Linked DNA regions of Schizosaccharomyces pombe. The protein of the gene in region 2 interacts with the protein of the main gene of each other region in a pairwise test. Each region holds a gene or a part of one and is shown on either strand. Other genes may lie near its edges.

The links. The genes of interacting proteins can lie anywhere in the genome.
Region 1: the proteins of ste7 (region 2) and mei2 interact in a two-hybrid assay, tested with the Schizosaccharomyces pombe proteins (one study listed by BioGRID).

Annotation. Positions count from the first base shown.
Region 1 is NC_003424.3:4,508,997-4,516,642, forward strand, and holds mei2 (RNA-binding protein Mei2), read right to left. Parts: upstream 6,030-7,646; 5' UTR 4,297-6,029; coding exon 2,044-4,296; 3' UTR 1,987-2,043; downstream 1-1,986. Other genes in the region: grp1 (GRIP domain-containing protein), read right to left, coding at 1-854. UniProt on the Schizosaccharomyces pombe protein: Crucial for commitment to meiosis but it is not sufficient itself for the commitment. May be a splicing regulator.
Region 2 is NC_003424.3:448,900-456,993, reverse strand, and holds ste7 (meiosis specific arrestin family membrane adaptor Ste7), read left to right. Parts: upstream 1-3,432; 5' UTR 3,433-4,074; coding exon 4,075-5,784; 3' UTR 5,785-6,134; downstream 6,135-8,094. Other genes in the region: lsd2 (putative histone demethylase SWIRM2), read right to left, coding at 6,464-7,699, 7,753-8,094. UniProt on the Schizosaccharomyces pombe protein: Has a role in promoting meiosis whereby it is involved in establishing the mating pheromone signaling pathway. It also has a role in suppressing meiosis until the conjugation process is complete.

The DNA.
Region 1 (7,646 bases), 4.1 Mb from region 2:
ATCAAATCATCATTAGCTATGTCTCTTCGTTCCTCTTCTTTACTATCGGCAACTGTATCTTGTTCTGCATCTACATCTTCACTTTGTGCTACCTTTTGTATGTCAGGCGTACTAATGGACTCGGAAAGCGCATCATTCTCTGTAGTCGCTTCTATATTTTGTTTAGTTGACTTTTTCTTTTGATTTTTACGATTCCTTTTCTTCTTCTTCTTTGATAAAGCACTGCTGACACCTATAGTATCAGTTGAGGGCCTTGAAACTTCGGGAACGTCATTTTTTGTCTCTACTGTTTTATCATCTTTCAAACTGGAAATAACCTCCTGCTCAATGGATTGTGCACTTTCCAACGAATTAATCTTCTCTTCAAGTTCCGAGCATCTTTGTATTGACTTTTCTAGCTCATCTTTTTTCTGTAGAATTAAACTGTTTTGATTACTTATTTCAGAGTTCAGCTTTTCAATTTGATCCTCGAACTGATGTTTTAAATTCTCCCGATCAGTCTGTAAATCATTCACTTCATGCGATAATCTCCTAACTTCGCTAACTGTCATTTCATAACGATGCTCTAAATTCTCCATAAATTCACGGAATCCTTCTAAGTCTTGAATACTTGACAACGGAGTTTTCTCCTGTAGAAGCTTTTGAAACGCTACAACGTTATTTTGTAGTTCATTCAATTTTTGTACGACGGAGTCCATATTTTTCGCGTCCTCTTCATTTTGAGAGAGCTTATTAGAAGATTTATTATTTCTTCTTAATTGATCTTCTTCTTGAAACTGCCTACGTCGATTCTTAGCTTCTTCCTGGCCTTGGGCCAGTGTCATGTTCAATTGATCTTTTAATCTTCCCAGCATTTTGATTGATAACCAAGAAAGAAAGTACCCATAGATTAAATCGTATAATGTTATTTAATCTTATACGTGCTTGGAAATATTAGTTGTTAGATATTGTAATTGACTGGGTATGGCACAATATTCTAGTGTTAACATTCTGCCACTTTAGCGTACTCTATTCTACTGCACCCTGTTAGATGGATTAACCCTTTAACTGAATGTATCGCTATCTCACAATATCAAATGCTTGTGTACCGTATTAGTATAGCAAAATTAAGCATAAACTATGAAATTGCCCATATAAATTGATTGAAGATAATTTTATATTCGATGGAATTGAAACCGAGATTACCCAATCTATTATTAATAATAAAAATTCACCACAAGGCCTGATCCGAAAACATTTAGAAGATTTGAAAACTCTTCAAGCAATAAACAGTGAATGTTTTTTAACAAGTTTATTTGTAAGTCCAAAATGATACAAGGAATTAATAGCAAGAAGATATACTCTCAGCAAAGCAACGCTAGCTGATTTTAAGCTCGTATATTTCAATAAGAGATACATTTTTGTACGATAACTGCTATCTTATGTGACTTTAGTAGCATGTTACTTAAGAGAGAAGATTTTCTAGCAGTACAATTGAAATTATCTGATTAAATAGTTGTGTTAAGGGGAATTTAATTGTCCTTAACTCGTTATTTGCATAAATTATAAAATTAAACATTTTTTTCAATGTGGCATTTATTAAACAGGTCTCAAGTAAGAGTATGTATTTTGAATAAAACATATCGATACTCAGAGTGAAGTTGACCATCTTGTCAAAATACAAGTTAATTTTAGCACGTTCACTATAACTAGATCTTTGTCACATAAAATTTGAGGCAATCATAAATTTAGCATTGAGCCGTCATTGATCATAATAAACTTATGGCATAAAAATTCGTATACAAAAAATGATCAATCATTATTAATAATTAAATCGAATAAGTATACTTTCGTAAAACGTTCCCATTTGGAAACATAAATTAACATCATATATTTGAAGTGAATATAATTTACACAAGCAGGCAAATTCTTGCAATTTGTAAAACATCCGAAGTTTTTGGAGCAATCATAATATACTTTGGAATTGAACAAAAATAAAATATAGAAAAGAAAGGGTAAGCAAAGCGATAGGTAAACATAAACAATACAGGATCTCTTTCGTAATCAACATTTGCTTGCAGTTGGAGGAAACAAGCCTATTTGTTGGGCACTAGCAATAGATCTTAGTTTACGACGTGCATTATTGGGAGCAGGGAAAGGCTCTTCCATTCCTCTATTAGGTCCATGGCTTACAAATATTTTCGGGCGGTAAGCAGGGTTCTCGTCCATAACACACGAGTTTCGGAATTTTTCAATCAGCCTGTCTTTGCCTTGAATATTAGCATAGCTGATATCGCATATTTTTTCAGAGTGAAAGACGTTCCATTGAGTACCCACTCTAGCTTTGCCAAAGGTAATGATAGATTGAGGTTCAATAAAGTTTATAAACGCATATCCTACATTGCATTTATTAACAAAATCTATCCGTAAATAAAGAAAATCATAGGTACCCTTGTTGGTAACATCAATGTAATCCCTTAGCATTTGCTGGGTAAATTTATTCGGGATATTTTTTATCATTACCGTGGTTCTTGTGTCAATTCCAGACGCAATTTGTGCATAATCGACAGAATTTCTATCTGAAGCATGTTTTTCAACAGTAGGAGTATATCTTTGGAGATTCAAGTCCGGATTCAGAGAAGAAGCAGATAGTGTAGAATCTGCTTTTGAGTCGTGTAGAGTAAGTGAGGCAAAACTTAAATTTGTAGGATTACTACATGATGCATTTGCACCAACAGTTAAACTTCTCCTCATACCAAGAGAACCTGTTGGTGAATCAAAGACTTTACCAGTATTAGAGGAAAAAGGTGACCATTGTGGATTAATTCCGTTCAGTAAATCACTATTCCTTTGCTTAAGACGTGAGGAATTTGGCGGTGCAATAGGATTTACATCTAAACCATACCTTATCGAATTATACTGCCTGGAAGGATTTCGATCACTGGGAGCAACAGGGCTAGTTGAAGAGACATCGTAATATCCGCTTGTTCCCCAAGCTGGAGATGATTCAGTGCGTCCTAAGGGAACGGATCCAAAGTTATTCGACATTCCATAACTCGAACCAATTCTTGAAACAGCACAACTAGCAGCAGTGGGAGTTTCTTGGTTAGAAGACATTGTCATAGAGTTGTTCCATTCAGAATTGTTATTTAACATCCCACTAAATCCTCTTGGAACAGAGAGGCTAGAGGCCGAAGAGGTGCTAACTGAATCAGCCATTGCATCGTAATAAGCGACTTGAAGGCAGCAATTATGAATAATTCTTCCATCCAATTCATCTAATGCAAAAGATGCATCTCTTGTATCATAGAATTCGCAAATAATTTGTGAAACATTTTGACTTCTTAAAGGCTTCATAATAAGAAGTGGACCGAACGTCTGAAGTATAGATTGCAGTTGAAGGATGCTCAGAACAGAACCTCCCTGCATATTTAAGAGAAGTTGACCTTCATTATCGTCAAGGAATTGAATAGTAGCACCTTGATTAATCATTTTTTGAATGCTGCTTCTTTGGCAGAATTGGAAATACAGTAATCTATCATTAAAAAATCTCTGAGATCGCAGTGATTTAGCGGCCTGTATTGCTTGCCTAATATCGAAAAAAGCAACAATGCATATACCATCCGTAGACAATGAAGATGTATCAATTCCTTTCACATCTCCAAGTTTTGAAAAAAGCTCCAATAAAGTAGCATAAGGAACAATACGAGGAAGGTTAGTAACGAACAAGTAACGAGAAGCATGAGAAAATATATCTATATCGTCAGAATTAGAGTTAAGCGAGGAAGAACGAAATCCGGTAACAGATGGTTTACGAGTTAGTGCCTGAGCTGCTTGCTCAGAACTTGAAATGTAACTTTGAATGCCATTTTGCGGAGGGGATTCTGAGAGAACAGAAATGTTTTGTTGCCATGTACTAAGAGGTTGTCGATCAGCTGACAATAAAACATTACCTGTAGTGAATACTTTCCGTTCACCAACTCGACAAGCATCAATAGGATTTAAAGGAGCGGTTGAAAACTGATAGTTGTTTTCGTTATTAACAAAGTTGGGGAAGATATTTTGAGTATCCGTAAGATAATCAATTGAGTTTGATTCACTAGATTTGGTAGCAGATAGTTGAATATTTCTGATGGGTGAAGGACCACTCAAAAGTAAAGTACTCTTGGGAGGGTAATGCTCGTTAGTAGAGAGTAATGGTGAGTCAAGAAGACTTGAGGGCAAAGCATGCATTGTTTTCTCCATATCAACTTGAAAAGTTGAATCAGATGGAGAAGGGGAGGTGATTGATAAAGGTGATTCGGTTTCCATAATCATTTATGTGTTAAAACGGCAACAATAAAGCTGGCCGATAATCCTTAAAATAGATAAAGAGTAAAAAAAATTACTTAATGACTAATAACTTATAAAACTTTGTTTAGAAGTGGTAAGAAAGGGAGAGAAAGGAACTGCAAAGGATTAAGTTAATACAAACTTTAAAAGACCAGAAAGTTGAAAAGAAAGGAAGGGGTTAGATGGTTGTTAGTAAATCAAACAAACGATGAGAAAATGCAAAAGAACAAAAGAATAATGAAATGAAAAGAAAAAATCAACAATAAATCACAATTGTCGTTCAAATGTATATAATCAAACGAAAAGAATAACAACCAAGATTTGAACAAACAAACTTGTCTTTCATAAAATTAACAAAAGAATAACAAACGTTAGAGGAGGAGAAATTTTCGGGATAAAACTAGGAAACTACCCTTTAATTTTTTTAAAAAAAAAAGAAAAAGATGGGATATTGTCACCACAGAAGAAAAGCGCAAGTAAAAATTTAAAATAATCGATTAGAAACTTTACACATATATACAAGAAAAAATGTATATGCGTATATGAAGAGAAAATGGATTGGAATCGTATATATATAAATGTATATATACGTATCAGTTAGGTTGCAAAAAAAGGAATTAAAAAGTGAAGCACACGAAAAAAGGGGAAGAAAGGAATCGATTCTAGGACAAAGAAGAGAAAAAGATATCAGGGAATGACAATAACGATTCAAGAAAAATTGGTAAAGATCAAAATGAGGATTCAAGAATACAGCCAGAAAATGTAGATAATGTGGTAAAAGATATAATTTGAACTTTCTTTGCGAATGCCTACTATGGGCTATTTTCAACAAGGAATGGGAAAGCGATGGTTGGTCTCGGAGTGGGCACAAGTAATTAATAAACAAACAAACAAAGAAAAGAGAAGTAGCAACTGCGTTCAAAGGTAACAAAGATGCGGGTGGGGATTTTAAGAAGGAAAGAAATGAATTAGATAAATAAACGTATCAATGTTTTGTTACGGTCGATAGGTTTATTGGCGCGGATGATGGCAGCTGTGTGTCCTATTAAGATGGAAAATGCGAACGGTAAGAGAAACAATTGGCAAGGATGGAGTAATGGAAAAGAAGTAAATGCACGATGTATAAAAACTTAAGTTTTTTCCATATGGTTTTTCAACTAACTAGAGGTGTAAAAAAAAAAAAAAAAAAAAAAAAAGCAATTTCCCTTTCCTTTTTTAAAATGGGGTATATATTTTTTGCTTTCTCTATTACAAAGGAACGTTAAGTTTCAGACAAACAAAATATACGACAGCCTAAATGGCAGCAGCGAAACAAAACAAAAACGATGCAATGCAATGCGATGCTTTTCAGTACAAATCAAAAAGCCAGCCCAAAATAGTTCTGTAAAGATAATTACAACAATCTGTCCGGCCGGATTGCTGGAGGAAGGATGGATTGTATGTTGGGAATAATGAGAGGGCTTGGATGCTTTATAATGAGATACAGTAATTAGAGAACAAAGAAGTTATTTCAAAGAAATCACAAAGTCAAAAAGGACTTTATTTGCTCGCAAATATTACGACAATTACTGGGAGAATGCTTGATTGAATGGGACGTACTGTTTATGCTACCCCTGCCTTTGTCCCGTGTAACACAAAGTGGGAAGAGTAACAAAGAAACGAAGTAAGCCAAGTAAACAAAGAATCTCAACAGCAGCTTTCAGTGGCGAAAACAAAGCGTTGAAAACAAAGGGAATCAACGAAATTTATAGACCTACGATGAAAATTTCAGTAGCCTTTACTGTTAGGCATTTACTGTGAACGTTTTTGCAATGCCCCTGAGGGGCTAGCTCGAGAAGGGTTTGTAAAACAAAGAAACTTTAAAATAGGAACAAAGAAATCGGTCGGCTTTCGTTACTCTATCTAAAGTTATGATGCGATGTCAGTAAGCTCTAATATAAGAGGACGATAATGGAAAAAAAATCCCATAAAAAGCGGGACAACTGATCCAATTTGGACAGATTGAAAGCCAACGCGACTCGCGTTAGATAGAGTAAATAGCGAGAAACGCTAAATGCATTTTCTTTTATGGTGTTTGCTTTGTCTACTGAAGCAAAAGGCTATTTATTCAAATCAGTGGTAATTAGTGTATAGCTTGTAAAGGTAAGTTAGTCCTTTTGAAAGTTTGAAAAAGATGATAGATAAAAAACAACGTTGTATCCATCCCGAAAAACATGGACAAGTCAAAGAAATCACATTTTTTATTTGCCTTCATTAGTGTAGTAATCTCCACCTTGCTGTATAATTCGGTAAGGATTTCTTTTGTTATTTACGCGTGCTTTTTTCCATACATCTTTTTTCGCCAATGCAAAACCCTCTTTTAACAGTGTTTCTTCTTTCAACCCTTATTCAGCGCATGCGTCTCCTATATTTGCGCGTTTTACACAGAGGTCGTTTGACATCCAGATTGTTCTCTGGCATGAAAGATAACTACATCATTTAATATTAGCAACTTGCTCACTTTCTTTTCTTTTCACATAAACTATAAAGCTGTTCGGCAATTAAAATTCCCCACTGAAATCCAATTAGCCAACGATCAAACTAGATCGCATTTATTGAGTGATTTGAAAACAATGCTTTATGCGCAAAAGTGGAGAAGGTAAATGTAGACAACCTCACGTTTTTGTTTATAAACATTAGTAAACGCCGCATTCGATTTTAATGTATCACGTATAAATCGGTAAATATGTGTGTACCACGGTTGTAGAAGTGCTCGAAGACAAGTAAGAAGGAAGCATTAATAACTTTTGGCAATTAAAAAGAGGTTGGGAATTCAGAACAAAAAAAGAGTAAAAGCGATATATTTATTCTATTCCAAAAGATTTGTATGCATGTATAAGAGATTTTAAGGCTGATGATGGTTTTTGATTATACTTTGGGTTTACATTATTTTTGTTTTGTTCTGTTTTGTTTGTTTTGTTTTGCTTTCGTATACACTCTATTTTTTTTTAAACGTAAAATGATCATTAGCGATGTTGCTTCAGTAAAGCGAGAGTCAGTGAACAATGGTTAGATTAAAGCTTTGCTGAGTAAATATTTTTTGGCTTTCTTATTAAAGGTCTTATAAGAAACATATGTGTATTTTTTGTTTTATTGCTTAGCCAGTTTACTATTTTTGGGACAATGCGTTTCGTAAACGTTTATGATGTTTGATGTACGTGACGAATTGTTCAAAAGTTAAATTTTGAGGTTTAAAAAAAATGAAGGCCTGAGAAACCGCTTCTATCTCTATGGTTGTTTATATCACCAACAAATGTCAATTGAGAATTTGAGGAAAGAACAGAAACCTAAGAGGA
Region 2 (8,094 bases):
TTATTTATTTCGGTTTTTTTTTTTATTTTAGGTTTTAAAATTTGCATGCTTCCTTTAATAGCCATACTAATTTATTATTATTGGAATTTACCATCCATTCTGATCATAGTACTGCAATGTATTCTTAGTATTATTTGTTGTTGCTCTCAGCGAAACAAAAAGTCTCATCACATTGAATGTTGTAAATGTTTCGCTAAAATTTGTTGCATCTACTTCAAACCAGAGGTTGTAAAACGACGCATTCGATTATTTAAAAAAAAAAAAAAACGGAAAGTGAAAAAAATATTACGGATTTTGCAATGATCAATGTTAATGACTGAGCTAAAAAATGAGAAAAAAAATAAAAGGAACCTACAGCACCCCGGATTCCCATGTTGTCTCCAACCATAGTACTAACGAGGCCCTCAGACGCTTAACTGCAGTGATCGGACGGGAACTGGTGTTTTCACCTAGGTATGGCCGTAGACAGCACGTTAAGTAAAATATAGAATTTATAGGAAAAAGAAATTTTAATTTTAGTTAGTTAATATTTTAAATTCAGGCTTGCAAAATTCCTGAACTTTGGAGTATATTTACATGAGCAATTTGATCCTTATAAGAAAATGAATATGGAGACATTAGCAACCTTCTAAAGAATAACGGGAGATGCGCTTTCAGGTTTCATTTATGTTAAAAAAGGAAAGTGCATACACGATAAAAACCAAAATAAGCAAATATCAACGCACGTGCTATACAGATGTGGAACGAAACTTAAGTAGAACAAAATGGTAGATACTTTAGTTGATGGTAATCGTAATGATAAGATTAATTTGATGAAAGCTTTATTTTTTTTGGAATGTCAATTTCATTCACTATCAGACAAAGGTTGTCTTTACAGTAGGAAATTTTTAAAAGTACAGCTAGTGGCTACTAAAAGTCAAAATTAAAGGATCTGCCTTTGTATGTATTACAAATTTTCCTATTACCCTGGGAAAATTTTAGATAAACAAACGATACTCAAAGAAAAAAAAAATCCTTTGTGCGTAAAACATTGAACCTTTGCAATGCTACTGATTTTGTTTGAAACCCGAGATAAGATACGAAGGTTGCTATGAGAAATAATGGTTTCGTTCATAGTACAAAAAAATATAGCCTTCAAAAAAAAATAAAATTGATTATGTACATTGTTTCCTAAATAAGAACAATATGGACGTTGTATTCATTGATTATTTGATTCTGGCTGATTGTTTTGCTATTGTTGACATAAACAAGCTATTAAGAATAGAGGAGCAAACTTACTCTGAGACCCTATGTGGGGGGAAATTTATCCATATACTACTACTCCCTTGCCAAGGGACCAACTTGCTGAACTTGAAAGATTTCTCACCCCCACGTAGACTTTATTCACCCACTTTAGAACCATCCCTTCTATATCTACAGTCTCCTACTTGGTGCATCTTCCTCGAATCGCATCCCCCACTTGGAACTGGTAAAAAAAAGTGGGGCTGCAACTTACTCATGATAGAGTAGAGTGCCTAAACTTCCTTATACCCCATCCTCTCTCAATGCATTTGCAAAGGAGTCCTTCTTACTTGGAACCCCTCCCCCGTGATTCAATCTAAACAACCGTGCCCCGCAAAGCACCTGTCGTGACATCACCAGAGTGGAATAAGAAATATCTAGTTGTTTATCCATGTTACAACTGTGCTGCATTTGTCATAGCGATGTTTAGTGGCAGCGATGGTTGTTTTTCATATACCCAATTTCCAGCAACAACAGAGAGACACTGAGAGAATGTGGACGGGCGTTTGTTTGAGAAGAAAAGGGTTACCACTTTATGCTCTATGCTTATTTAGGAAATTGTGGACATGTATAATGCTTAGAATAAGGTGCCTCCAAAAAAGTAACGCGGGGAGGGGCGGTTTCCCTTTCTAAGAGACTTTGACTATTGATAATATCCGAATAGGTGATTTATGCATGCAAACACAGTATGTGGGAAAACTTTTTGACAAAAAAAATGAAATCTTGCGTGTGGCCACGCAAAAAGATATCGAGATGCTGCGAGGTTGATCAACAAAGAAAGCGAAATCTGATAGGTAAGGAGGTTCAAGGCATGATGTGTTTGCAAAGGAGTGAAATGAATGTATTAAAAAAGTACCAGCGTTCGCCAACCGAAATGCGTTTGCATGGGAGACTATTCCTAGGTGTTAACTGACGGGTTTGTTTGCATTTCAGGAGTCATTTGTGCTTGTTCATTTACATTGTACCGTGTTTGTCGGCTTTCCATGGTATAACGTGAGCATTTGTAATATGTAGGCGTTATAGTATGTAATGAAACGGTTACAAAATGGCGTGTAAGAAATTCAACAGGGTATTCATTTTTTTTTCTCTTATTTTAAATAAATATAATTATTTTTTATTTAAAAAAGAATTCGTACGAATGGCGCACGAAAAATCAAGTGACCTTTGTGTCGGCAAACATTTTGCTTCTCCACGAAAAGAGAAAAGGAAAGTTTTCGCATACTATGAGGAATGTTTGTTCCCTCGGACATGAGCTTGAGTCTCCGTAAGAAGTATTTCTCTCTTTCATATTTTTCCCATCTGTCTATTTTATTTTTATGTTTTTCAGTTTCTTCTTCTTCATCTTCTAATTTCTTTCTTTCTTTCTTTCTTTCCTCTTTCCGTTTCTACTTCTTCCAAACTTTTACTTATTCTCATGTCTTTTTCCTGCCTCGCCTATTCTTACATTCTCTCTCCTCGCTTCCCCTCGATCCGTACTCCATGTGCGTAAATCTCTTTAAGCGCAATCCGTTTTTCTTCCCAAGCTCAAGCCCAATCCCGAGCTAAAACCAAACTGAAATTTCTTTACTCCCTTTTACTTCTTTAAAGCAATTCTCTTCTTTCTTCTTCATACCCTTCGGAACCTCTTCTTCTTGAAATTCCCTTGTTTACTCTTCATTCTTTCAAATTACCAAGTTGACTAGTTGCCATTGCCGCAATCCTTTTACTATTCGGAGTGCCTGCAACCGATCTCGCAAAACTCGCTTTCTTTGTTCGTAATCTCCAAACTCCGCTCTTGTTACTTTGACCGTTGAAGTGTGCATCGCTTCCATTCGTGTAGCACATGATAAGCTATCACTTTACTCGATGCTTTGTACTCTTTATCCCTGGTACCTCCTCTACTTCAAATCTTTCCCATTTACCGTTACTCCATACACCCTAGGAGGATCGTTGTCACATTGATTTACAGGGTTTATCAAGGAGTCATCGTTACCCTTTGTTGCTTGTTTGCTTGCTTGTTTGAGTGCTAGCCATGCTGGGATTAGCATGACTCAATCCAATCGCTGGTTGTATTGTTGATTTTCTTTGTTTGAAAATGGAGCAAAGCCCAGGTATACCCCTCTCGCATCACTTACTTTATATAAATCGTGTTAGCCCCAAAATTGGAGTCGCATAAATCATTAGTATTTACATTTAAGTTGTGTCAGGCACAGCAGCAGTATTTTTAATTTTTTCCTTCCTTCTTTCTTTCTTTCTTTCTTAGTATATCTATCTCTGAATATACTTGGAATAAAGCAAAAGCTTCGATAAGTTAAGATATAAAGGCTTATTTTGTAATTTGTTTTTTTTTTTTTTTTTTTTTTTCTCTCTCTTCTTCTTCTTTTTCTTTTGCTATCTCTTCTCTCCTCATCTAGCTCAATTCAGAAGATTACATGTCTATCTACTCCGCAGTCTAACTATCTCTATCTGTTTGTGCGTTTCGTTTTCTGATTTTTGTTTTAGCTGTTTCTTCAATTTCCAGCTTTTAGACATTATATACTTTACCTTTTTGTTGTCGTTCTTCTTGTTTACAAAAAGAAAATCGAGTTCTTGTTATTAAATTTTTTATTCCAAGATTTAGTGTTTAGTGTGTTTTTTATTTCTTTAAAATCTCTCTTTCTTCTTTCACGTTCACGTTGATTTGACTATTCCTTCTCAACATCTCTCATTTTCTTTATCCTTTCCCCTCTCCTCTTCTTATCAGAGCAATTCCGTTTCTCTCTTCTCATTTTTACCAGTCCCTTACTTACCAATTTCTGTACTTCCGTACCCATCATGTTTTTGGAAATAATCCTAGATTCTGCGACGTATAGCTTTGACCGTGTAATCACCGGAAAAATTTGCTTTGAAACAAATGCCGCTACCTCTCCTCGTTCCTTTCAAATTCAACTTCGCATCAAGGGTTATGCTGTTTATCATCATGGTTTCTTGTCTTCTCCTTCCCATAAACATCCAACAACTGCTTCTGCCTCCGATTCCGATGAAGCTACAGAAATTTTTACTCATTCTCAGCCTCTTCCTATACCAGCAGGTCCCTCTTCAAAGTCTCATGCCATTGACTTCAAATTTAAATTTCCTTCTAAATCCGCCTCGTCTCTTCCTTGTTCCAAGTCCAATGATTCCATGGTCAACATTTGCTACATGCTCAAAGCCACTATCAGTAAGCGTTATGCCTTTCTTGGCTCTTCTCAAAGTGCAAAGGCTGAACTCATCATGGTTCCTCCAAATTTGGCCGGTAAACCTTTGAGTGCTAATTCATCGTTCGGTTCTTCTGCTAAGACATTCCAACTTCCGGAATTTGATTCCGTTACTCCTTCTGCATCTCTCTATAAACAACCTTCCTTCAATTCCAACCCCGCTCCCATTACCACCTCTTCTGCTACTCATACTTCTCAATTTTCTACATCTTCTTCTTCTTCCGTGAATTCCGTTCATACCCCCGTTATGGTTCCTAATCCCTACTTCCAGTATAATTCATCCATGACAGCTCCATCTTCATCCTCTTCCTCAGTAGCTCCTTTCGTTCCCCGCCGTCAATTTTCTGTTTCTTCAGCCTCAGATCCACCTCAAACTCCCATTTCCATGTCACCCCCCATTCCACCTACTCCTTCTCAGTTTTCTGCTTTTATGTATCAAAATCAGCAGTCATACCTCAGTCCTCAGTCACATTATGAGAATCCTCTTTCCATATCGTCACGTCCATCGCCTTGCTGCCCTAGTACGCCTAGTAGCGCTGTAACCCTATCCAACGGTTTTGACTCGCAATCCAATGCTTATAATAATTCGGGTACCGGTCCTCCGATGCTTTATAAATTCCCTCAGCGTTCTTACACTGCCCCGAATACCTCTTTCAATTCTCAACGTCGAATGTCAAGCATTACCTCACTTCCGACTGCCTCGTTTTGTCCTGTTAAACACGGCGTTTCACCTCCATCTTTGGCAGGAAATCAACCTAGTCCTTTATCTTCTCCACTCACCAATTCTAATGTTTCTCCTTCTACCATTTGTTCACCAGACAACAACGTCACCTTTGTCAATTTAGCACCTGGTGAGAAGTTGACCTTTAAGATTGAACCAAACGACCTTATGGATGAAGAAGAGGTGGTTGAGAATTCCAATATGTACAGTATTCCTGGTAAGACTGTTGCTACAACAGTTTGTCATTCGTCATCTTCTTCCGGTGACTTTTCAGCTCTTTCATGTCATAGAAATCTATCATTTTCTGAAAGCTTGCCTACTGCTGAAGATCAAGTTCATAATAATCACTGTGCCGTATCGCCTTCCAGAAGAAGTTCATCCAATGCTCTGTATCTAGCTACTTTGCCAATGGGTTATGAACGATCTAATTCCGTATCATACTGTTCAGATTCAAGTCTTAGCTCCCCTTTGCCTGACGACAATATGCTACAAGATCCACACGCTTTGAACATGGCGTATGCTAAAGAATTCGATGTTCTTATCAATGAAGTCTTACAGTCTCTTTAATTATTTATAACAGACTTCCTGAATTACGAGTCTTTATAACAACCACTTTTTTTTTGACAATTGAGATGCCATCTCCTATTAACTTTTGGATAATGCTTTTAATTATACATGTCCAAATATGGACTGGAGTCAATAACTCGGCATTTTTATATTATTTTATTTTAATATCATATGCATCTTATGTTTTTTTTTTAACTATTTCGTTGTAGTACTTGCTTTGAGATACATAGTGTCCATGGTGTCTGCAACAAATACAACCGCATCTGTTTTGGCTTAATTTAATGATTCTTAGTTAATTTTAATTACTTTTTTTCTAATAACTTATTTTTTTATTTATTTCACAAGCGTACTAGTAATATCATTTGTTGCTTGAATATTATGTTAATGGCAAAATGGTAACATGCATTACATCCTAAAGAGTGAGAGTAGTAGCTGTGTTTACGATATCATCTTTTATCTCTTACATCTTCGGCATTAAATCAGGTTGGCTACTGGCTAACGAGAAGTGTACATGTATTTTAGATTTTCCTTAAACAATTTGCTGAAATTAGCAATTTGATAAAATGCTTCATTTAGGGCATGACGAGAATATATATGTACATAAAATTTTAAGGGTATTTGTAATGATGCGAAGTAACTAAACTTTTAAAAAACAATATGTGATTTGATTTTTTTTCTTTTAATATCGTGTTCCATTATAACCCGAATCAGAAGATCCATCGTCATGATACTCTTCGTCGCTAGCCTCTCGACTTTTGGAAATGTTGTCATCCTGAGTTTGTTTTCTTTGCTCTTCTTCTCGTTGAGCTTGCATAAACAATCTTGCTTCATCATCGGGAATAGGTTCATCTTGGCATTTGGCCGCATAATCATTTCGTATTTGCTCGGCTCTCATTTCATATTCTTTAGTTAGGCGCTGATAACGAAGAATTTTTCCAGCATAAGCTTCTCTTTGTGCTGCAATTTCATCAATCCAAGGTTTTTTACCTAAATCATCAAGCTGGCGCCAAGTTTTCCCTAGTTTGGCACGTGTTTCATTAATAGTAGCCTTCGCTGTACTATCTCCTGTTAACCTTCGCTTGTCTTCATCAGCAAGTGCACGGCATACATGCCACTGCATTTTTTGGTAAAGTAAAAAGGGATTTGCATTCGGCTTGGAAGGAGGTTCAGGTAAATAACCAAGAAGTTCAGTTACAAGCTGTTCCTGTTCTTCCTTATGCTCGTCAAGTCTTTCCTGCTTTTTCAACCTATATCTTGCCTGATAAGAAAGGTGACGCTGTGCTTCAGCATTGGGATCAAAATTATTAACTTTAGAGTTTCGCAAAAACTGATCCAATTCTTTGCGAGAGGTTTCTCCAATGATAGGTATGGTTAAGGAAATTGGAGCCAATGAATCAATAATCCCTGTACATACGGAAAGGCCAGATAAAAAGGATCTTTGTAATGTCCTACAGCCTACGCAACTGAATATATAGTCTCCAGCAATATGCAAGCGACCCAAATTATACGATAACTGACTTTGCCTAAATCTTTTTTCATATTGCTGCTTATCATTGGCAAAATTTGGATAAGAATTTAAGCCGTCATAGACACCATTTCTCGACCAGTTTGTGACCCAAGCATCTAATAAATCAGCTGAGCTGTTTGAATCATTTTGAAAATGATCTACTATTAGACTGTGTAATTCTTGAATTAAGTGGGAGGTCTCGTTAGAAGAAGAACTTGTCATTTGTGGATTGATATCCGCTACTAATATTGGGACACCAGTTTCAGGAAGCATATTCCATATTCTCAAAACAAAACAAGATTTACCATCATTCTCATCATTGTTCATTTCTTGACTTAATGATTTTGGTATAATACCAAATGATCTAATGTTCTTTCGCCAAAAAGCAGCTGCATAACGAAGAATAACCTGCTCAATGTTAACTTTATAATTGAAAAAAAAATAAATAAATAAAAACCTACCTTTTTTCCGGGTTTGAAATCTATACTTTTTATGTTTTCAGTCACGAAATTAGGAAGACCTGGTGAAAACTCTATATTTGAAGAAAAATGAGAAGGAGAGCAAGCAATTACAACTTGGTCAACCTCATAAGAAGAGTTGTCCTTACAATCAAGGGTACATTTATCATTTTCAATAGTTACCTTAGATACAAACTTCTCATAATGAATATTTAAGGGAGATGGATAAGATTGTAATGCCCATGGCAGTTGAGATAGACCTCTTCTAGCAACTTTTGGAATCAAAATATCTTTGGAGAAGTCTGTATCAACTGTGTTAAGAGGGTACAAAGTATCGTCCAATTC